Linked DNA regions of Pelodiscus sinensis. The protein of the gene in region 3 purifies or fractionates together with the protein of the main gene of each other region. This does not show direct contact. Links are inferred from orthologs where the notes say so. Each region holds a gene or a part of one and is shown on either strand. Other genes may lie near its edges. The genes, in order: MAD1L1, LBR and MAD2L1BP.

The links.
Region 1: the proteins of MAD2L1BP (region 3) and MAD1L1 purify together in Homo sapiens (co-immunoprecipitation; 4 studies listed by BioGRID and IntAct, with this or other methods). This does not show direct contact. The link is inferred for Pelodiscus sinensis from reciprocal best matches to the Homo sapiens genes MAD2L1BP and MAD1L1.
Region 2: the proteins of MAD2L1BP (region 3) and LBR purify together in Homo sapiens (co-immunoprecipitation; 3 studies listed by BioGRID and IntAct, counting the BioPlex papers as one, with this or other methods). This does not show direct contact. The link is inferred for Pelodiscus sinensis from reciprocal best matches to the Homo sapiens genes MAD2L1BP and LBR.

What each region holds. Positions count from the first base shown.
Region 1 is NC_134726.1:28,515,414-28,522,990, reverse strand, and holds the start of MAD1L1 (mitotic spindle assembly checkpoint protein MAD1), read left to right. Parts: upstream 1-4,504; 5' UTR 4,505-4,594; intron 4,595-6,603; 5' UTR 6,604-6,616; coding exon 6,617-6,766; intron 6,767-7,577. UniProt on the Homo sapiens protein: Component of the spindle-assembly checkpoint that prevents the onset of anaphase until all chromosomes are properly aligned at the metaphase plate.
Region 2 is NC_134713.1:156,527,657-156,535,641, forward strand, and holds the start of LBR (delta(14)-sterol reductase LBR), read right to left. Parts: upstream 3,082-7,985; 5' UTR 2,682-3,081; intron 1-2,681. UniProt on the Homo sapiens protein: Catalyzes the reduction of the C14-unsaturated bond of lanosterol, as part of the metabolic pathway leading to cholesterol biosynthesis.
Region 3 is NC_134713.1:139,340,287-139,347,564, forward strand, and holds the start of MAD2L1BP (MAD2L1-binding protein), read left to right. Parts: upstream 1-4,226; 5' UTR 4,227-4,409; coding exon 4,410-4,805; intron 4,806-6,112; coding exon 6,113-6,649; 3' UTR 6,650-7,278. UniProt on the Homo sapiens protein: May function to silence the spindle checkpoint and allow mitosis to proceed through anaphase by binding MAD2L1 after it has become dissociated from the MAD2L1-CDC20 complex.

The DNA.
Region 1 (7,577 bases), on a different chromosome or scaffold from region 3:
AGAAAGTTCAAAGTCTTGTTAAGTCCTTGGTGATAAGTGTCGAATTTTAACATGAATGACAGTTCAGAGGATTCCCTTTCAAGTGCAGATGTAAAAGGTCTTTGTAGCAGAATGCAGGTGGCTAAGTCATTTAGAGAGTGTCCTTTCTGGTTAAAGTGGCAAGAAACTGTTTTCTCTTTGTGATCTTGTCTGATATCTGTTTTGTGGGCATTAATCCTTTGGCGAAGTGTCTGAGATGTTTGTCCAATGTACATAGCAGACGGACACTTTCGGCACATGATAGCATAGATTATATTTCTGGATGCGCAGGAATATGTGTTCTTGATCTTATAACTTACTTGGTTAGGTCCAATAATGGTATCAGCAGAATGAATATGTGGACAAAGCTGGCAACAAACCCCGTTGCCAGCTTTGTCCACATATTCATTCTGCTGATACCATTATTGGACCTAACCAAGTAAGTTATAAGATCAAGAACACATATTCCTGCGCATCCAGAAATATAATCTATGCTATCATGTGCCGAAAGTGTCCGTCTGCTATGTACATTGGACAAACATCTCAGACACTTCGCCAAAGGATTAATGCCCACAAAACAGATATCAGACAAGATCACAAAGAGAAAACAGTTTCTTGCCACTTTAACCAGAAAGGACACTCTCTAAATGACTTAGCCACCTGCATTCTGCTACAAAGACCTTTTACATCTGCACTTGAAAGGGAATCCTCTGAACTGTCATTCATGTTAAAATTCGACACTTATCACCAAGGACTTAACAAGACTTTGAACTTTCTCACCCATTACCAAGACAGTTTCCCCAATTATCACCTGTAATACCATTAACTCACAAACATCCCACTCTCCCTACCTTTAATATCAGCAATTCACAGACACTTACCTTCCTTCCTCCCCCTTCCCACCCCCCCGCATCCCCCTTCTGTTCTGCAATGTGATTTGTCCTTTTCATATTTGTTCATTTTTTTTAATTGTATCCTTTGGTATATATGGTTGTGACTACTTTCTTCCACTATTTGATCTGAGGAAGTGGGTCTGGCCCACGAAAGCTCATCATCTAATAAACCATCTTGTTAGTCTTTAAAGTGCTACATTGTCCTGCATTTTGCTTCAACTACCCCAGACTAACACGGCTACATTTCTATCACTATTCTTTTATGTGTAGACACTCTCTTTTGGAAGAAGTTTTTCGGCAGATCTCTTTCGGAAAAGTTTGTTCCGAAAGAAGCCTGAAGACTAGACTTAGCCCAAGAGGCCCACCTGACCTCATTTTCCTCATGCATATTAATTCCTTTTTCTCATCTTCGCTGCACCTCCATTCTTGTCTTTCTCACGTGCAAGCAAAGACTACATCAGACCCCACCTAGCCCCTGGCTTCAAGTCTGTAGCCTCATGGCTCCTCTCCACAAAGGTGCAGACATAACCCTATTTACACTCTCTTACCACTTACACATATCCATGCACTCCCTTGTCACAGGATAGAATGTTACAGAGCTTAAAGATTATATAAGCAATAGCTGGAAGTTACAAAGCTTGCAAAGAGGTTGCAGAACTTGAAACATTACTTGAAAATTACATGGCTTGCAATAGAAACTGATATAACTTAGAATAGTTGAGAGTTACATGGCGTACAATAGAAAGTTTTGGGACTTGCAATGGCTGAAGCTGACGACTTAAAATAACAAAGTTACCTGACTTACAATAACAGAAAATTACATGTCTTACATCCACATTATACCAGCTTGGGCGGAGGTTTTACACAACAGTGCGCACCCACTGTCTTCTTCCCTGTGGTGGTGGTAGGCGCGCACAGCATGCTGCCCTGCTTCCCCATGGTGGGGCTGTGAGGAGGTGGCTTGGCTCCTATGGATGTGAAGGACCTCAGCCGAAGGTGCGAGGCTGGGGATGGGGCTGAGGGCTTGCCTCCCCCAGCCCTACCTTCACCAACTGCCTGTGCTGTAGCCTCTGTTTGTCAGAAGCTTGAAATGGGCAACAGGAAATGGATCACTTGACGATTCTGTTCTTTTCATTCTCTTTGGGGCACATGGCATTGGCCACTGTCAGCAGAGAGGATGTTGGGCTAGGTGGACCTTTGGTCTGACCCAGTATGGCCATTCTTATGTATAAAACCTGCCCGTGGGGGATGGGAATAAAAATAAAACACTACTTAAAGATTTGTGTACATGTGTGTGTTTCAGATTTCTACTTTGTGATCATAGTTATACTTTGAACTAAATGCAACGCAGCTGTCATGATACTGAAGAGAAGGCAGCTATCATTCAGTTTTACTTCTGAATTTTTCCTAAAAGTGCAATTTATTAGCACATTGTGCCAAATAACTATATGGGCTGAAAATTTCCATGCCAACTATCTGCCTTAGGCTGAAGTGGTTAAACTGTTTCTAAGAGAGAGGCTAGGAAAATGCATGTTTGCCTGTCTTAAAAATGTTGGGTGACTTATTCTTTGAGAAGATCTGTTGTGCTCAGGCTTTGGAGCAAGGTCTTGAAGCTTATAAGAAGAGTAGCTTTCTTGTCATGGATATGCCTTTTGTTGTCCGCATGACAATCCAACCACATTTAACCAGCTCAACAAGCCTCTGAAAAATCAGTTTTTGCATGTGCTGAGTTGAGCCCTGTTAGAGCTTGGTAGCTAAATTCCCCGAAGACTGTTTTCATCTGGTATGCTTCTATCTGAGCTGAGCAGGACTTTTTCTGAAATTAGAATTCTAGGCTACTGAACCCCAACGAAAGCAAAGTGCTGGAGACTCTCTCATGCAGCATCAGGAGAGAGCTGGTCAGAATCACTTGTACACACAGTGGAAGCGTAACTGGGAATCCCAGTTTAGCATTGCAAGGAAGTTTACAAGGTATATATTTTAGTTACTGTAATGTATTTTGGACTTTTGCTTAAACACATGGTTTGATTAAACTACACCCTCTCTCTAGTGTGGCTCAAGCTAGCAGTGGGCATCCTTAATTCTTTTTTTTAGTTAATTCTTTAGTGAATTGCTGAGTTTCCCACCTTCATATTCATCAGTTCTAGTCAGAAGGGGCAAAGGTGCAATTGCATACCAAGCCCGAGGAAAGAAAATGGAAGTGAGAATTCATAAATTCTTTATCTGCTTACAGAGGGACAGCACCAGGAGCTTAAAAAGGTTCTTCATTCCCTTTAGGCTTTTTTGTTTTCCACTGCCCATAGTGAACCTTGAGCATATTTGCCTACTCCTGACAGCAGTAATGCTGGTCACTGACTTCAAATCCAATGTAGACACAGTTATATTTGCTACTGAAGTTGTTAGTCTGTGGTAGCACTTTGCTTTGAAAGCTTAGTAGAGAATATGTGATCAGGTCTGGCTGCCCGTAGGTGCAGCCTGTGGTGTGTATCATCCTAGGAGTCCCTCCTGATATTTCTGTCTGTGAAGAAGTGGCAGGTGAAGAAAATCTGCAAGTGCCCTGGTTCAATCCAATAGAGGAAACTGCACAGTGCAATAAGTGGCATGTAGGCATTGTTGTCACTATGGTCAGGAGTTGTGAAGATCTGGATGGATTGGGTGGGTTACTCACTCTCCTGTATGTTGACAACATAACTTCTAGTATGGTGCCTCCCGCCTTGTTGGAGAAGGGATGGTCACTGGCAGTGTGCCCTCATGTCCTTTCTGTAAAGGATGTGTCTCTTATTAGAATCACTACTTTGTAAACATTTATATTGCACTAGAGCTTAGAAGCCCAAAAAGAAATCCAGATGCCGGGGTATCAGACTCTCTGCAGTGTTGCAAAGCGGCAGCGCTGCAGAGCGTGGGGTCAGTTAACTGCTTTGAAAATCTGCGTGCAGCCCAATGCTGGGCTTCCCATGGCATTTCAAAGTGGCAGCACTACACAGAACTGGGGGTCAGCTGGGGAGTCCCCAGCTGATCCCGGGCTCCATGTGGTGTTGCCACTTTAAAATGCCACATGCAGCCTGGGGACATTCCAGATGGCCCCCAATTGCACGTGGCTTTTCAAAGCGGCAGTGCTGCATGGAGTCCAGGGTCTGGCCCCCCGGCTTCAAGCAGCACTGCTGCTTTGAAGTGCTTCCTCTTCTTTCCCCCTTGCTACCTCTACCTCATAGAGACAGCAAGGGGAGGAATCAACTAGTCAACTATCCTGTCAACTATTGGATAAGCATTTGCTTATGGGACAGTCGACTCGTCCCTATACTGAACAACCACAGCCTGAGCAAGCTGGTCAGACAGACTTGCTCTGGCAGAGTTGAAACTGGAACCCGGTGTCTCAACTCCTACTCCAGGGTCTGAATCACAAAATCATCCTCCCAGATACAGCGTTGCCATGGCACCGTCAGTTTTTACTCTACCACACTGGGGAAATAGGAACTTTGTGCATGCGCCTAGCGGTAAGAGGACCACGGAGCTACCCCTGGACGCACGTATAACCCGAATATTACGGTAAAGTGTGTGCGTCGGGGGGGAGGAGGCGGGGCGGGAAGGTTCGTCTCGCGGGAGCTGGGTTCGAGTTCTCGTGAGATCTCGGGGCAGGACGAGGAGGGAGATCCAAGCAGGAGGCGGGGAGCCGGCTGCTGTGGGTGAGTGCGAGAGACCCGCGCGCTGTCTCGCGCCCCGGGCGGTAATCGGATTGGCTCGGCTCCGCCCTGCAGTTCCGTGGCAGCACAGGCGTCTTCCCGCCCTGACACCCCCCCCTCCCGTCGGGGTCCCGCGCTCTGACCCTGACCCCCCCTCAGGCAGCGCCCCTCCCCCTGTTCCCTCTGGGGCAGCGCGGCAGGGCCCCTCCCTCACACTGACTCCTGGGGGGGGGGCAGCAGCAGAGGGTCCCGCCCCCAACACTGACCCTCCCCAGCCGGGGCAGCCAGGTGGGATCCCAGGGGAGCAGCAGCACCGTAGGGTCCCCCTCGCTGGCGCTGAGCCTCACCAGACACCCCCAGCGACTCTCCCCTGGGGCGGCAGCAGGACACGGCCCCCTGTGGAATTCCCCCTCTTCTCCCGGGGAGCAGCGCAGGGCCCCATCCACCCAATACTGTACCCACCTGGGGCAGCAAGGCAGGGCCCTGCCTCACGTGGGCATCTGTACAGGGTCCTGCCCCTTCACCTCGGGCACAGAACCTCATCCCTCAGGGGAACAGCCCTGCCCCAATTTAACCCGGTCTCCAATCTGCCATGTCCTGGGGAGGGGTGGACACATCGCTTCCAGATTGGTGCACATAACAAAATTCATTCTGCTGAGGGATGTGAAGTATTAGAGGGAAATATGAGGAGAGGTTAAAGCGACTGGGACTTTTCAGTTTAGAAAAGAGGAGACTGAGGGGGGGATATGATAGAGGTATATAAAATCATGAGCGGTGTGGAGAGGGCCGATAAAGAAAAGTTATTTATTAGTTCCCTAAATAGAAGAACTAGAGGACACCAAATGAAATTAATGGGGAGCAGGTTTAAAACTAATAAAAGAAAGTTCTTCTTCACACAGCGTGTTGTCAACCTGTGGAACTCCTTGCCAGAGGAGGCTGTGAAGGCTAGGACTATAATAGAGTTTAAAGAGAAGCTAGATAATTTCATGGAGGATAGGTCCATAAAAGGCTATTAGCCAGGGGATAAAATGGTGTCCTTGGCCTCTGTTGTCAGAGGCTGGAGAGGGATGGCAGGAGACAAATCGCTTGATCATAGTCTTCGGTCCACCCTCTCTGGGGCACCTGGTGCTGGCCACTGTTGGCAGACAGGATACTGGGCTAGATGGACCTTTGGTCTGACCCAGTACGTCCGTTCTTATGTTCTTATGTTCTTATGGTGGTGACCTCCATACCATACCACTCTTAATTCTTAACTGCTGCTAGTGGCAACACTGCCTTTAGAACTGGATGCCCGCCTAGCAGCCATTACTCTGAAGGCAGGGCAGAAGTAAGTGTGGCAATATCATGACACCCCTACGATAGTCAAATTTCATAGTCTGTGTTGCAGTTTTTCACACCCATGAATTTGGCAGGGCCCAATGTATATGAGAAGAATGTGGACTCGAGCAGGGGTTTTCACAATAAAATTTGTGGTGACCTCAGAGTGCAGCCACCAACTCTTGCTGGTGGCTGCCCTGGCAAACCTGTCTCTCTATTTCTGCCATCTGGGAAAGTGGGTCATGAACTCACCAACTGTGTGCAGTGTCCCAGGTTTCCTGGGCAGCAGTGGGAAAGCTACCTGGAGGAGCATCCCAGAAACTAAGAGCTGCATGCACTGTGTCTCCAGAGGCACTTCCTCGAGCCCCTGAGGAGGTTGTGCTGTGCAGGACAATGCTCCCTACTGGCAGTGCCAGTGTAAACATGAAAGCGGCACATTTTGCTGCCCAGGAGCAACAATTGGGCGCTGCAAGGAGGAACTGCTGCTTTTGTCCCCATACTCTGCTTTGCCCTTCTATGCTGTAGAAGCTATTGTGGATGCAAAATAAATTCTAAAAAAACCTTCTTGTGGCTGTATTTGAGAAATGCTTTTTCAGAATGACTTGAAGAAGGGGGTATGCTTACCTGATGTTATAGCGGTGAATAAGATTGCCCTGGATGTTTCACTTTTGCCTTTGTGTGTCTGTGTTTTACAGCAGAGAGCTCACCATGGAGAACTCAGAGGACAATACAACTGTGTTCTCTGCCTTGCGATCTCTCAACAACTTCATTTCACAGCGTGTGGAGGGGGCATCTAGTCTGGCTGCACCAGGATCACTTCCAAGTACCTTGCATATGCAGTACCAGCAGAGGGTTCAGGTGAGACATCCCTGGTTCATTCACACCTGGAGTTAAGAATTTAGATTTATTTTGATATCAGGCATGGGAATTTTTTTAGTTAAGAAACAGAGGCTGTCCTTTCTTACATTGCTATCCCAACATTGCCAATGATGGAGACAATTTGCTCCCAAAATAAAACTCTTAAACCCATTCATTTAAGAAAAAAGTAAGTTATGGGCCTGACTCTTTGTCCTGGTCAGTATTCAATTGGTTTTCTTCAATTCTCTCCCTTTAACTTATCTGTAGGTCAACTTAGGCAGCTGTATTTTGATTTCATCTTGCCCCCATGACTGAGCTTAACTGATGGTTTGCTCGGGGTGATGGTCAGTTTTTCCTGCCTTGTCCATTTCTTTCTTGAAAACATACTGTTAGGTGTGCTAAACTATCCATGGCATTTTTATGATATTGACTCTGAGGACTGAATTGAGATCACCAAATTAATTCTATTGGGGACCTCAATCTGGACCAGAATTGTAGTCTTTGAAGCATAAATTTTAATTTACTAAACCAGTCTTCATGGATGCTATAGCGATGGACACTTTAGCAATGTCCAAGATGTCTTACACAAGTTTTGAGTTTTGTAGCTTTGTTATGGATCTCTAATTATGTGTCTGAGTGTAAAGTAAGGCCTTGGTATCTTTATTTAAATTTCCATTGCATTTAAAATTGTGTGGCTGGGTCCCTGGGGACTTGGTAACCTATTAGCTAGGTTGCTGAGTAGGTGGGCAGAAAAGGGGGAGGGAAGCTGGCCCTCTTACCACTGTGTTTCTGGCCCAGGAACTCCCAAGCC
Region 2 (7,985 bases), about 17 Mb from region 3:
ATAGTCACAACCATAATATACCAAAGGATACAATTTAAAAAAATGAACACATATGAAAAAGTCTTTGTAGCAGAATGCAGGTAGTTAAGTCGTTGAGACAGTGTCCTTTCTGGTTGAAATGGCAAGAAATTGTTTTTTCTTTGTGATCCTGTCTGATATCTGTTTTGTGGGCATTAATCCTTTGGCGAAGTGTCTGAGACGTTTGTCCAATGTACATAGCAGACGGACACTTTCGGCACATGATAGCATAAATTATATTTCTGGATGCGCAGGAATATGTGTTCTTGATCTTATAACTCAGTATATATGGTTGTGACTATTTTCTTCCACTATTTGATCTGAGGAAGTAGGTCTGGCCCACGAAAGCTCATCATCTAATAAACCATCTTGTTAGTCTTTAAAGTGCTACATAGTCCTGCATTTTGCTTCGGCTACACCAGACTAACGCGGCTACATTTCTATTACTAATGTCTCAACCCAGCGAGGATAAGGCTAGACTACAGGAGTTTTTCAGGATTCCGGAGATATCCCAGGAAAACTCTTCTGCATCCAGGGATGTATTTGTTCTTCCGCTTTTTTTAATGGAAGAGCAAACATGCCCTTTCGGTCACTCCTATAGTCCTCTTTCCACAAGGAATAAGGGAGCTTCCAAAAGAAGGGGTTTTTCTGATATTTGGCCCAGTCTAAACAGGCCAAATGTTGGAAAAACCTCTTCCTACAGAAAACTTGAAACAAAAAAAGCAGCAGTATAAGGGTTGGGGATAGCAAGCAATGGAGAGGAGAATAGAGAGGGCGAGGCTTCAAGGAAGGGGCAGCCAGTAGATCTTGGCTTGTTCTGTCATTTAAAAAGTGATCTTGGGTGTAAAAAGGTTGGAGACCACTGAGTCCTATGTCATCTGTCTTCCTATGGTCACGGTGTTCTTCAAATTGCTTTTTGCTTTTTATAGCCCATATTCTGGAAACTACTGTGAAACTATGCACTACTGTGTCTGTATAGTACTTAAATAATATTTAATCACTCTTTAGGAATAGCTCTCCACAATACTCACTAAGGTGCTGCTTTTGATGGAAGAAGTGTTCATAGTACAAACATTTAAACACATATACATCTTTTGTACAAATGGGACCTAGCAGATGATGTTTACTCTTATCCTCACTTATGGCACTTTCACATGAAATCAAGAAAATCTGAATATAAAAACTTCAGGCCAAATAATCACTACACTTACAATCTAGATTTGTAGTACTGATGTAGGAATTCAATTAGGAAAAATACAATCTTAATACTATTTTTAAACGTAGTTTAATGCACTTGCATTTGGAAAATGTGTTAACAAGCAAACTTAAATTGGTTTAGTGCAAAAACAAAACTCTGACTTCATTAGCTACCCATATATATATACACACACACACACACACACACACACACACACACACACCAAAATAGTTCACTAACGAGTAGGGTGTCAAGTAAAAAAAAAAATCAATTAGCATGACTTACACAGAAGTTTTTCACACAGCATCTTTCACACTAGCCTTATCCAAAAATACTACTTAATTTCTTGCCAGTGTTGAGGGTTTGTAAAAGGAAGAAAAGACAGTAACACACTCCATCTCCCCCATTTTTGTTCAGTTTACATCTTAAATTGAAAAGCAATTGATAAAGAGCAGCACTAACCACTCTGCCCTGCAAGCTGATGATACCGGCTATATGTTTTGTTAGTCTTTAAGGTGCTACTAACTAGACTATTCGTTGTTTTTAAGTTTTTCTAGTTACAGACTAACTCCGCTACCCTTTTGAAAGCGTCGGAACGCTATCTACCTATAGGGAAAAAAATCAGGCAGTCTTTGCAAAGCAAATCTCCAAGACATTAGAGAAAAGGCTCATTCGTCTCCTTTAAATATACTTTCAACCAGAAGCATCCAAAATGGAGGGAAAACGTCATAATTTAAACGTTTCCCATTTATCCTGATAGAAACGCTTCAAGGATACGCGGTCTCAGCCCGACACAGAAATGTAACAGATATCCGGGTTGTTTTGTCCATTGGGAATCCTGCCCCAGCCCGCCAGGCGAGTGGAGAGAGAGGCCGGAGAAGAGGAACCGATCCCGTGACCACCCCCTCTCCCCCGGAAGCCCCGCTGCAGCGCGCGGTGTGAGGTCGCGCTCGTTTGTTTCGCTGTGCCCCGCGCTCCCCAGTCAGCAGGGCCACAACCCGCCCGCGCCTCGCTCCTTAGCCGGGAAGCGCAGAACTCGGCCGTGGTCCGGCTCTCCATAGGGGTGCAAGGGAGCCTATGTCCCTCCGCCCACAGCCTCAACCCACGGGGGAGCCGGCCAGTCTCCGCGCAGGGGAGGGCACCGCACGCCTGTTTACATGGACGCGTCAGCCCTGCCCCCGCCGCGCACGGGGGGGGTTCGGGGAACCCGTCACCGCCGGCTCCCAGACGCTAAGGAGCGCAGCTAAGCGGCGGGTGAGAGCGGAGGGAAGGGAGCCGGGAACGGAAGGGGCCAATTCACACCAGCCCCCAGCAGGACAGAGAAAGAAACGTCTCGGTGTCGCGAGGCCCCGAGCGTGGGGGAGGGGAAGGAGGAAGCGACCGGTCGGTGCCCTCCTCCCCGGGAAAGTCTCTGAGTGAGGGGGTGTGTCCCGGCCCCCGGCTGCCCTCAGTCCCGGGGCCTTACCTGGGCTGCCGCCCCCACCCAGCCAGCAGGAATCGCCTCTGCGACACCGCAGGAGCCGGGGCCGAGCGGACCGTAGAAGAGCCACGAAATCCAACACCCCGAGCGACGGTTACAGGCAGGGCGGCTGGCGCGAGGCTTCGGCTGCAGCCCCGCCCCTTCCTGCGAGGTGCTGGGCGCCAACCGCCACCATTGGCCAGGCCTCCGGTTTGAATCGCGATCGGGACAGGGAATTGGCTACGAGTGGGTGGCGCGTTCCACCCTTTTGTGCCCCCTCGGGCCCTTCCAGAGGAGCGTCCTAGCCGGGAGCTGCCGGTCCGAGGTTGTCCCTGCTCCCGCCTCTGGGACGGAAACCTCCCGCTGGCCCCTTCCCCAGGCCGGGCCGCAGGGGCGGGTGGAAGAGACAGATTCCCTCACACCGCCCCAGACCCTCCCCGCAACGCTCACCCTCATGAGAAGGGCCCGTCAGAGCCCCCCCTCTGCCACCAACGGGCGGGGCTGGGGCAGCGCCTGGCCAGCTGAAAATGGTTTCCTTGGGGGGAAAGAGCCTCTGCCACCGAGTTAGCTTCCTCGCCTGAGAGGTGGGGGTAGGGGGTCTGTGCCCACTCCAGTCAGCACAGCGCCTCTGCGCCAGACGCGCTGCAAACACCTCTTCGGAGGAAGGGAGCCCAGCAGCCCCACCCCTTCCACCTGCCTCTCTTCCCAGGCTACCAGCTGGTCTCCAACCACTTGCCTAACCCAGGGGCCTCCAGCTGGCTGGCCAGCCCCAGGCCACCACTTGGTGGAAGCTGCCACAGTGGCCAGCTTGAGCTGAGTCTTCCCCCTCCTTTGGGGGGGGGGGGCAGTTTAGGGAAGGCTTAGCCCCTATGAGCTATGATACCTGTTTCTCATAACTATAAGACACAGCTATTCCTTTTCCTCAGAGACAGGAGTAAATCCGGACTTTTGCACAAAGGAAAAACCCCACACAAACAAATCAGAAATTATCACTAGCGTTATTCCAAGTACCATTTAGTGAGATCAATATTAGCTTTGACAATCTTTGACAGCAACAGGTTCATTTCTGTTTGCACGCAGAGGTTAGCCTATTCTCCACTAATATTCTAAATCAGAGGTTGGGAACCTGTGGCCCATGCCTTGCTTGGATCTAGTCCTACAGGCTCAGGACTCCCTCCCCCATGTTGTGCTCTAGCACCCCCCTGGGCTGGAGTACACCAAATCTGTTAAGCTGTCACCCCCCCCCCCCCAGGCTGAGGTGTGCAAGGGGAACATAGGGAGCATCTTTCTCCTCAGGTTGCCAGGGCAGAGGGGGTTTGCAGTTGGGTTTTTTTTTTGGTTTGGGCCTCTCAATTGTGTGTAGCCCCTGACTGATTTTTCTGTGGGTCAGCGGCCACTGACCCAAAAAAGGTGCCCCACCCCTGTTCTAAATCATAATATTGACAAGTATTTTACTAATTGATTTTATCTGATTATGGGCAAGATAAATTGATTGAGGGACAATTTCAGCAACAAAGACAAGCTAAAATAGTTTAGCTGAAGTTAAAACTTGTGGAAGAGTTCCAGAAAAGGAACACAGGGCTGGGACAGAATATTTTAGGGAAAACTTTGCTATTGTACCGTTTGAGACACTCATTTTGGTTCCATATCTAGCTGCATTGTGTACAGACTTTTTATTAATCATTTTTCTAAATACCGGCGAGGAGTCCCGTGGCACGTTATAGACTAACTGAAGTGTTGGAGCATAAGCTTTCATGGGCAAAGACCCACTTCGTCAGCATCAGACAAAGTGGGTCTATGCCCACGAAAGCTTATGCTCCAACACTTCAGTTAGTCTATAAGGTGCCACGGGACTCCTTGCCGCTTTTTCAGATTCAGACTAACACGGCTACGCCTCTGATACTTTTCTAAATACCATATCACAGCAGCAGTTGGAAGTACATTCAAAGTTCAAACTTATAGAACTAATTTTGAGGACTGCATAGATGTTCTAGGCCTTAATTCATCTAGGTTTTTAACCTAACACTCAGGTGGTATCTCCCTGAGGGGAGGTCTACATTTTTAAATCTAGTACCTCATAAAATCATATACAAGAAAGTATGCTTTCGGGGCTGTATCTAACTGATTCTCATTTAATAATATTAATCTGGGAACTGCACTTATAATAAACTCATCAACTATCCTGAGAATTGGCAATACTGTCTAAAGCAGTGTTTCTTAAACTTTTTAAGACAAAGGAACACCAAACAATTTTTTTATGGGGGGGAATACCAAGGATTTTTTTTTGTTGAGCGCAAAAAAAAAAATAAGTCGGGGGGAGGAGGAAGAGTTTTGAGAAAAAAGTTGCCAGCCCCTTTAAGGGTGGCCATTTTAAATTCTGTTCTCCACAGCACACAGGTGTACCATGGAACACAGTTTAAGAAACACTGGTCTAAAGTTCAAGTGAAGATAGAAGCTATATTGTAGAGCAGGATCAGGCACTTTACAATATCTAAAGATGGCAGTATTAGAGTGCTGTCTATATTACAATTACAGTGAAACTGCATGTGTGGTGAATTATAGCTACAGTTTTTAAATAACACAAATATCTTTGACAACGTGATTGCTCCATATCTGACTTCTCAGTCATCATCCTCAAAGGAGACTTGCACAACACTCCTGAATTCCCAAGCTTGTCTTTTGAAGCCATAACTATTGGCCCCTAAAAGTCACAGACTTAAGAGAAGCATTGATTTTATGGTTCATTACAACAACTTGGAACACATGTGGCTGCATACTAACTCTCCATTGCTCTATAATTGTGTTGCCCACTTCATTTAAAGTGGTCCCCTACTACATGTCTGAATCCCTTATGCTTAACAATCTGTCCTACCATGTGTTTAGCATGGACACTCTGGTTTCCTCCTCCAGACATGAAAAGCTTTGTCCAACAAGAAAGCAGTCCAATAAAAATACTACCTTACCACCACCCCTCCCTCCCGCCCTTATTTAACTTCACTGTTTGAAAGCCTGAAGATCAAGGAAGGGAGAGAACTGTATCATTTCCATCTGCAGGAATTGGGGTTTTTTTTAAATTAATATTATTGGAGGTAGGGGCTAAGTCAAAAATGTAATTTTTCTCTAAGTTGGCTGAGGTTTATAGTCATGCCAAGAGTTCCAGGTTCATGGGCATTTGATGCAAAAACTCTATCACTGAAGAACATAAGATTGATTTTTGGGATTGACAGCTCCATTAGCTGTCTTGGGAGAGGACGATCTGTGCAAAAAGAGGATGTGTAAATCACACATTATTCCCTGCTTTTTTAAAGATGTTTCTTCTATCTTTCTTGGGTGGCAAGAAGGGTTGTCATACTTGGGGATGACAAAGTAAGAATTATAATAAAACTAGGTCATATTTTACTTAAGACATCTGTGATTGGCTTAGCAACTTTTTCCAAAGATCTAGAAGTACTTCATATAACCTAAGATTTGCAATATCTCTGTGCTGTTGAAAGGAAATACAGGATTCACTTCATCACTTCACCACCAGAAAGCAAAAATCTTTTGGATCAAACACAGTAGCCTATAACATTTTTGAATATCACAAACTATGAACAAAATAGTTATTTTTTATTGCCACCAAAAAGGCAAGTGATTTATCAATTTTAAACATGCTAATTTAAAAGCAATTTAATACTATGCTGTATTTGAATTGAAACCCTCAAATTCCTCTCTGTCCATAAAATACTAAATAGTTAATGGCAAATGCAAGCTCCCCTTCTTCATTGTCCTGCCAAAGTGTTTCAACTCTGACACGGAGAATTGATATAACAGCGAGCTTATTATTTGCCCAAATAATACTTCACCTATCCAGCAAGACTTCCAAAAACTCTAAAAATAAACTTGTTAATTTGTTTTTGTGATCTAAATAGTATCCACTAAAGGACTGACAACTCCACATTGTTAAAAACCATGAGTAAGGCCCCCAGAATTCACGTGACTTAGATTTCCAGAAAGCCCTTGACAAGGTCCCTCACCAAAGGCTCTTAAGTAAAGTAAGTTGTCATGGGATAAGAGCGAAGTCCTTTAATGGATTGGTAACTGGTTAAAATACAGGAAACAAAGGGTAGGAATAAATGGTCAGTTTTCAGAGTAAGGATGTTAAAATGTGGTTAATTAACAAGTCAACAGAATTTCAGTCAACTAGTCGCCAGGTATTTCCACATTCTTCCTTTGAAATGCGGAACTCCGAGTACATCCTGGGGCCAGCTGGACATCCCGCTGACTCCAGGCTGCACACAGATGCCTTCTTTGAAATGCACAAGAGTCCCCAGCAGGGGCTCTTGTGCATTTCAAAGCCATGGAGCCCAGGATCAGCGGGAGACTCAGAGTCCCCTGCTGACCCTGGGCTCCATACTACGCTGTATGCCACTAGGGGCCCGGAGTCAGCTGGGGACTTCACAGTTGATCCTGGGTTCCCCGCAGCTGATCCTCTGAATCGCACGAATGCCTGGTTTAAAGGGATAGCCGCCCCTTTAACACACTACCCCATGTGTTCTTTTAACACAATACCCCATGGCTGCGTCTAGACTGGCATGATTTTCCGCAAATGCTTTTAATGGAAAAGTTTTTCCATTAAAAGCATTTGTGGAAAAGAGCGTCTAGATTGGCACGGACGCTTTTGCGCAAAAGCACTTTTTGCAGAAAAGCGTCCATTCCAATCTAGACACAGTTTTGCGCAAGAAAGCCCCGATTGCCATTTTCACCATCGGGGCTTTTTTGCGCAAAACGGTTCTCAGCATTTGTGCAAGAGGGCTTTTTCCCGAACGGGAGAGTCATTATATTTGCGGAAGAACACTGACAATCTTACATTAGATCGTCAGTGTTCTTGCGCAAATTCAAAGCGGCCAGTGTAGACAGCTGGCAAGTTTTTTGCTTTTGCGGAAAAACTTGCCAGTCTAGACGCAGCCCATGTGTTCATGTTATTTTCCACTACGTAGTCTATTAAGAGGCTTCTGTATTAAATCAGGTACATCACTGATTTACCGGAATCAGTATCACAAAATCATGTTGGCAGACATGAAGCAATCCACTGTCAGCCGACGGTCAGGGCAGTGTGTGCGTGTGTGTTACACCCAAGTCTTCAACTGCTGAGACACAGAGTCTCGTTGCAGTGGGCAGCCTAGGAGGCTGGAGGGCACCCTGAAAAGTAGTTTAACGTCCGTGACTTTACTGCTAGGACCGAGGTCCCGTCGCAGAGGGTAGCCAAACAGGCTAACAGACGCCCCAGTGTGTACAGGAAGAGCTTATTACGCTTCAGATTTTAGCTGC
Region 3 (7,278 bases):
CCTTCCAGCTCCCTCCGGCCTCTGGCGTCAGAAACACCCGCGGGGCTTCACGGGAAACCGAGTCCGGACAGCTGCCCAGGACTACAACCCCCAGCAAGCACCACGCTGCACAGCACACGCAGCTCGGAAAACTGCACTTCCCATGATGCACCGCGCCAGTCACACTGACTCGCAAAGGCCCACGGGCGCAGCAGTCTCTACACGCAGAATTACCGCACTTAGAAAGGACTACAGCTCCCAGCATGCACGAAAGAAAAAAGCGTCCTTTCCTTCCGGAGCTGCTGAGCAGGGACTCCCGGGAGTTGTGGTTTTCCAGTTTATTGAGGTTGTTGGTTCCCTGCTAGCTTACCATTTTGCGATGGTTTCAGGACAGGCCCATTTCTTGTGTATGCTTTTTCACCAGCCTGTCTTCATGAGTGGAACTGGGGCCCCTGGAGAGAGACAGAATAGCATCACTTGTGTAGGGTTGCCAGGTGTCGGGTTTTCTACTGGACAGTCTGGTATTTGCACCGTCTGTCCAGTAGAAAAATTCAGACTTTCAGGTATTTTCTGAATTTCCAACTGGGCGCTGGACGGAAGCCTGGTTGGGGGCGGGGGAGTGACTGGGAGGCGGGGCTGCGATTGGCGCTGGGAACCCTTTGTTCGTGTGCAAAAGCCGGGTGGTGGGAGTGGCTCCCAGCCCCTCCCCCGCCCCTGCCTGGCTTTTGCTCGCAACTAAAGGGAGTGCCTGCTGGGGGCATGGCCCAAAGGACTCTGGCTGTAGCCAGTGCCTGCACCCCTCCCCCCCCGCCAAGTCTGCTTCCCACCCCCCTTCCTCCGGGCCCCCCTCTCCGCCCGGCCAGCCCCACGACCCCTGGCTTCCCCCCACCAGCTCTGCTTCCCACCCCGCCCACCTCCCGGCCAGCCTCACCCCTGTCCCAGCAGGTTCTTTCCCCCTCCCCTGCCCGCCCACGATCAAGTGTGTCCGTTTTTTTGGTGGGGTCTACCTGGCAACCCTACACCTGTACCATTCTCTTCCCAGACTACTTAAAGTGCTTCCAAGGTAACATTTGATGGTGGGGCCTGTTGCCTCCCCGGGCTGTTTCTCTGTACTATAGCGGTGATTGACATCATTCTATGTCAACCAAAACCCAGGAAGCTGCTGATGCAGTTTCATGGTTGGGTGTAGTTTGGGCAACAACATTGAAACCCAATTTCTAAAATCTATAGATTTACATGCTGCACACAGTGCTTGTGTGTATGGTGCTATATATGTGCATAAAACCCCTCCCATCCTCTGGATATCCTGGTCCTATGTACCATAAGAGAGAAATACAGGTGCTACCACCATATAATACATTCAAACCAATATATATCAAGACACACATAATAGAAGTTTAATGGAAAATAATAAAGAGCAATGTTATTTGATAAAGCACTTCAAAACAGTACATTGTATAGTTTCAGCAAGTTACCATATAATAAATACATTTCTATAAGGACAATATGCTAAAATATATTTATATCAAACATACTGTCACATGTTAACAATAAAGCAAGAATTTTGGACTGAAAAAACTCCTGAGTACTATTTCCAGTTTCCCCACTAATTGTATAGTTTTGACCAAGTCACTTTGTCTCTATTGAGGATGTATTATTGACATTTGTAAAGCACTTTGAAACTCTTTGATGAAAAGTGCTATAGAAGACTTAGACTTAGTCCTGTGGCACTTTATATATATATATATATATATATATATATATATATATATATATATACACACACACACACACACACACACACACACACACTATCATGAGCCTTTGTGGGCAAAACCCACTTCTTCATATGAGATAATCTTGAGTGAAGAAGTGGGTTTTCCTCATGAAAGCTCATGTGATGCACACTCTCTCTCTCTCTCTCTCTCTGTTTATATATATCTATATCTATATTTGTTAGTCTCTAAGGGGCCACATTGTTTTTAAAGTTACAGACCACATGGCTACTCCTCTGAAACTAATAGAAGACTTAGGATAAACTTAAAAAACAACAAATAGTCTGGTAGCACTTTAAAGACTAACAGGCAATCTAAATATATTACATTGACACACTAACCATATTACACACAAGACTATGCAAAGCCACAGAACTACAGATCCCATCATGCATTTGAAATATACAAATTGGACTCCTCCCCCCCCCATGTTGATTTTTAAAATTGCAGCCAATGATAAATCAGGGATGCTTTGTTTTCAAAAACTAGCTGTAGCCACACACTCTCAGTGCTTCAGGGCGCCTCCTCCTTCAGGGCTGACCTCCAAAGGAAACAAATTGCATCATGTACTACAAATAGCTGAGAACAGAAAACCAGGTCAGAGCAGTTCATTCAGCTAGAATAGCAGTGTATACTACTGCCTCTGCACAATTGTGGTATGATATCTGTTGTGGATGATACGGACACAAAATGTGGTATTTAATCACTGTGATGATAATATTTTAGCCATGACTAATATATTACCAGTACGATGATTACTATAACTAATTATAAAAATGGAATTTATATAAAAGGCAATGAAAGGAAGATGAAAAAGCTCTCTGAACTAGAACTCAGGAATCCTGACTATTTAGTGTGTGTCTACTGTGGGTTTTGCTCAACAAACCTCATGATACTGTATATATTTTAGTTAATCTCTACGGTGCCAACTACTCGTCATTTTTGAAGTTACAGACTAATATGGCAGTCCTTCTGAATCTATATATATAGGTGAACCTGAAACACCCTGGGTGCGTCTAGACTGGCAAGATTTTGCGCAAAAGCATTTGCTTTTGCACAAAATCTTGCCGCCTGTCAACACTGGCCGCAAGTATTTGCGCAAGAACCACTGATTTTGTACAGATCGGCTGTGTCTACATTGGCACCCTTTTCCGGAAAAGGGATGCTAATGAGACCAGCTGGAATTGCAAATGCCGCGGGGGATTTAAATATCCCCCGCGGCATTTGCATGAACATGGCTGCCGCTTTTATCTGGCTCGGGGTTTTGCCAGAGAAAAGTGCCAGTCTAGATGGGATCTTGCGGAAAATAAACCTACTTGCAAGTAGGAATAAGGGATCTTCCGGAAAAGGGTTTATTTTCTGCAAGATCCCGTCTACACTGGCGCTTTTCTCCGGCAAAACCTCGAGCCGGAAAAAAGTGGCAGCCATGTTCATGCAAATGCCGTGGGGGATATTTAAATCCCCCGCGGCATTTGTAATTCTGACTGGTCTCATTAGCATCCCTTTTCCGGAAAAGGGTGCCAATGTAGACACAGCCTACAGGTATTCTTGCACAAGAGGCCTAGTGTAGACAGGCAAGTTAATTTCTTGCGCAAGAGAGCGTCTACACTGGCACGGATACTTTTGCGCAAAAGACATCTTTTTTGCGCAAAAGCATCCGTGCCAGGGTAGACGCTCTCTTGCGCAAATACTTTTAACGGAAAAACTTTTCCGTTAAAAGTATTTGTGCAAAATCATGCCAGTCTAGATGCAGCCCCTGGGGAAAAGCAAGGGAGGGAATTAAATGGGTTCCTTATAAATTGGATCCCCCCCTTGCATTTTTGTATACCATAGTATCAAGGCAGATAGATTTATTCTGACACCTTTTAACTTGGCTAGGAGAACAAACCGATCTTGGCTACCATCATGCCACAAACTAAAGGCCAGGTAGAGGTCTTTCTAGTGATCGCTCACTGAAAACAGGAAGAGATGTCAGCTACAGGGTCTTTTTTATTTTTGTTCTGTGTTGAGATCCGCTTGAGTGGAACAGGATCTTGTCAATGGACCCTTGGGTGTGGACCAAAGACAATGACTTATTTTTCTCATACTATTGATGAAACTAACTTGTGAGAAGAAGGGGATTAATCTTCCATAACACACCATTTCCCTGTTTTTAATGTGCATTTCCAGCTGGTTTGCTATAGGCAGCATTGTCTAGTGATTAGCACAGAGGAGAGATTGAAATGCAGGGCTCCTGGAATTTACTTCCCACTCTACAACAACATCACTGTGGCTACGTCTACACGATCAGTTTGCTTGGCAAAAAATATGCTAATGAGAGACTCATTTGCATGAGTTACAATCTCATTTGCATATTTTCTGCCAATCCATTTTTGCGCAAAAACAAACAGTGTGGACGTTACGTTTTCTTTTTGCGCAAGATTCTTACGCCCGAAAAAAGGAGGTTTACCGATCCTGCGAAAAAAGCGGTTTTTGTGCAAAAATAAAATGTCCCCACAAGGCGGGCGGAGGGAACACTAATGTGCCCTAAGAAAAGATGGCGCCGGCGGGGTCACGGCCACCGGAAGGAGCAGGGACGTGAATGTCCCGTGATGCCCCGGGGCGGCGGCCATTCAACTTGGGGCCGGGAGTGGGCAGCTGAGCGTGAGGCCGAAGATGGCGGGGATGGGCCGCCAGGAGCGCGCAGGTGAGGGGCGGGCCCGGGCTCCTCTCCCCTCCCCACCCGCGCCGAGCGACCTCTCCCCTCTCCACGCAGCTGACCTGCTCCAGACCGAGCCCCTGGAGGCCCCGACGCTGACTCCGGACCCCGCCGCGGGATGGGGCGGCAGCGGGGCGGCAGCGGCGCCGCTTCTCCCCACGCAGGGCCCGGCCGGCCGCGCCCCGGGCTGCCGCTCGGTCTCGGTGGTGTTCCCCGGCCCCGTGACCCGGCAGGGCTGCTGCCACTTCGCCTGCGAGCTCCTCAAGCACGTGCTGCACCAGCGGCACCAGCTGCCCCTGCCCTACGAGCAGCTGGCCTACTTCTACCGGCGGGCGCTGCCCCGCCCGCCGCAGGTAAGCCTGGGCCGCCGGCCGAGCGAGAGCCAGCCCTGGATCCTGGCAGCCGGGTGCGTTCCGCGCTTGCCCGGTGAGACGCTGTTTTCCTGGGCTGGCTGCTGGCCGCTACCTCCCCTCCAGCAAATCTGCTTCATTCCTCTGCCTGCGCAACAGGTCAATCTCTGCGGGTGCTTTTGCCTTCCGGGAATCTCTGCCTCCAGCCCCAGCGCTGTAGTGACTTTGCCTTGGGCTGAGGAGGGCTGGAGACCGTTCCCTGCATGTTCTGCAAAAGTCAGCCTACTGTGCCAGGCCAGATAGGCCTTCCCAGCCGCACCCTCCCGAGGTAGGATGATCTGATACACTGGTTCAAGAGACAGCAGTTACAGATCAAAGTAGTAAGGTTTCTGGTTGGTTCAGGCCCAGCAGTGACTGGCTGCAGGGTCTTGGCTGGACTGGCTATCTTTAGGAACCAGTGGGAGATGGGACATGAAAGTGTCTAAGCTCCCAAGTTTGCACAACTAGGATAGACCTTCAGACGTCTCAGAAACAGGGAGAAGGGGAAGTCCATCATGTAACTGAAATAGGCTATTGGTAATAGAAACTTCCATGTGTTATGGAGATGATTATTAAACTCATCAGGATAGCAACACAGGGTATATGGACAGCGTTTCAGAGCTATTTAGTCTGTTGGGCAATAAAACTTTGAAAAAAGATCAGGTGGCTCATAATCTTTCTCACTGAATAAAGTGGCACTGGCTCCCAAGGCAAGTCAGCCTTTTCCAAGAATTGGATAGCTAATCTACTGGATAGCTGTTGTCTTGATTTGTAGCCTCTATCAACATACCTTCTGTATTTCCAGTTGCATGCATTGTTTTTCTCAATGCAGTCAGTGTTTATATTTAATGTGACACAATATCCTAAAGAGAATACACTTCTCTCTGGCTGGTCAAGTAGTTTTATCTACAGATCTTAGAGCACAGCAGAACATCGGCCTCCTAAGAAAATCCAGAGAGGCTGAATGTTGACTAAAATGCTCATTGAGCTATGCCAAGCTGTGAGAGGTTTCTAGCTTCATTATATCCATCTTGATATCTTTTATTTCTACTGACCTTAAATTCAGGAAACACTAGTAATGAACTCATTCAATGTTGGGTCCCACCAAGACACCAAGATTCCTTTTTTCAGGTTTTTAAGGAAAAAAAACCCTTAGTTTTTCTTAAAATATCTGTTCTTTCTTCTGTTGGGTCTGGTGGTTCAAGATGCTAAATGCAGTCAAATACACCACCACTTGCCTAATATTTCAGAATATACTTTTTCCTTGGCAGGATGGTGATGCAATTAAGAAGAAGCCACAGCCTACAGACCGAGGGAGCAGCAGGAAATGTCAGCAAGTGCTAATGGAGCTGGAGGGAGTGTTCCGGCATTTGGAAGCCATATTCAATCTGACCTTGGTTCCCCGGATCCTTATTCTGCTTGGAGGAAATGCCATGAGCCCTAAGGAGCTCTATGAGATCAATTTGGAGGGCATCTCTGTGGGCAATGCTGAGGAGAGCCTGCAAACACCGACCTGTGTTCGTAAGCTTTTCCATTCACTCTTCCTTGCAGATGTCTTCAGTGAGTTACAGGTTGTTCCTGCTATGGGCACCATTGTCATGGTACAGGGGCACCGTGACTGTGGCATTGACTGGTTCCGACCAAAGCTCAACTACAAAGTGCCAACACGAGGGAGGAAGCTGACTGTCAACTTGTCCTGTGGTGGAAACAGCAGTACAAATCCATCTAATCAGCAGGGAATGACTTCTGCCTGGGACAGCTACATATGGTTCCAAGCACCAGTGACACTTAAGGGCTTCCATGAATGACTCATGCTCTCTAGCATTTTAATAGGGCATTTTATAATCTGGTGCTACTTTAGTTAATACGTAAGAATGTTTTTATGATCTGTAACTATACATTCTCTCCTCAGAATCCTATATCCAGGGAATGTGCTACCTACGTGCAGCTGGGGTGTATTTCACTGTCCATAAAACAAAGCTTTAAATGGCCCCATGCAAGGGATAAGCACTAATGCAGTTTTGTTCACAGATGTCAATTTCTTGGTGAAACTGAGTCAGGAACCCTAGAGAGTTGGTGGGAGTAATTCAATTTATGTGCAGCATGCCCACTCACCCCCAAGAATATCAAGGTATTCATACAGCTGTTCTCTAGCTGCTGCAAGAGCAATGTGCAATGTTAATGAATGGATTGGGACTTGAATAATCTAAATTTATGCTTAATATGGGTGTGGCAAAGATTATATAGCAGGTTTTACTAAGCAACTTGGTCTCTCATCTCCTTTACAGTCTGGCAATATCATAAAGATTAGAGAGAGAGCTGAGAAGTTGCTTAGCTATAAGAAAATCCACTTAGCATCCCTTATACAAAGGATGCTCTAAAGAAGACCTCTAAACAAGAGTCTTTTGCTCAGGACTGTTTTCTATGCTTGTGAGAA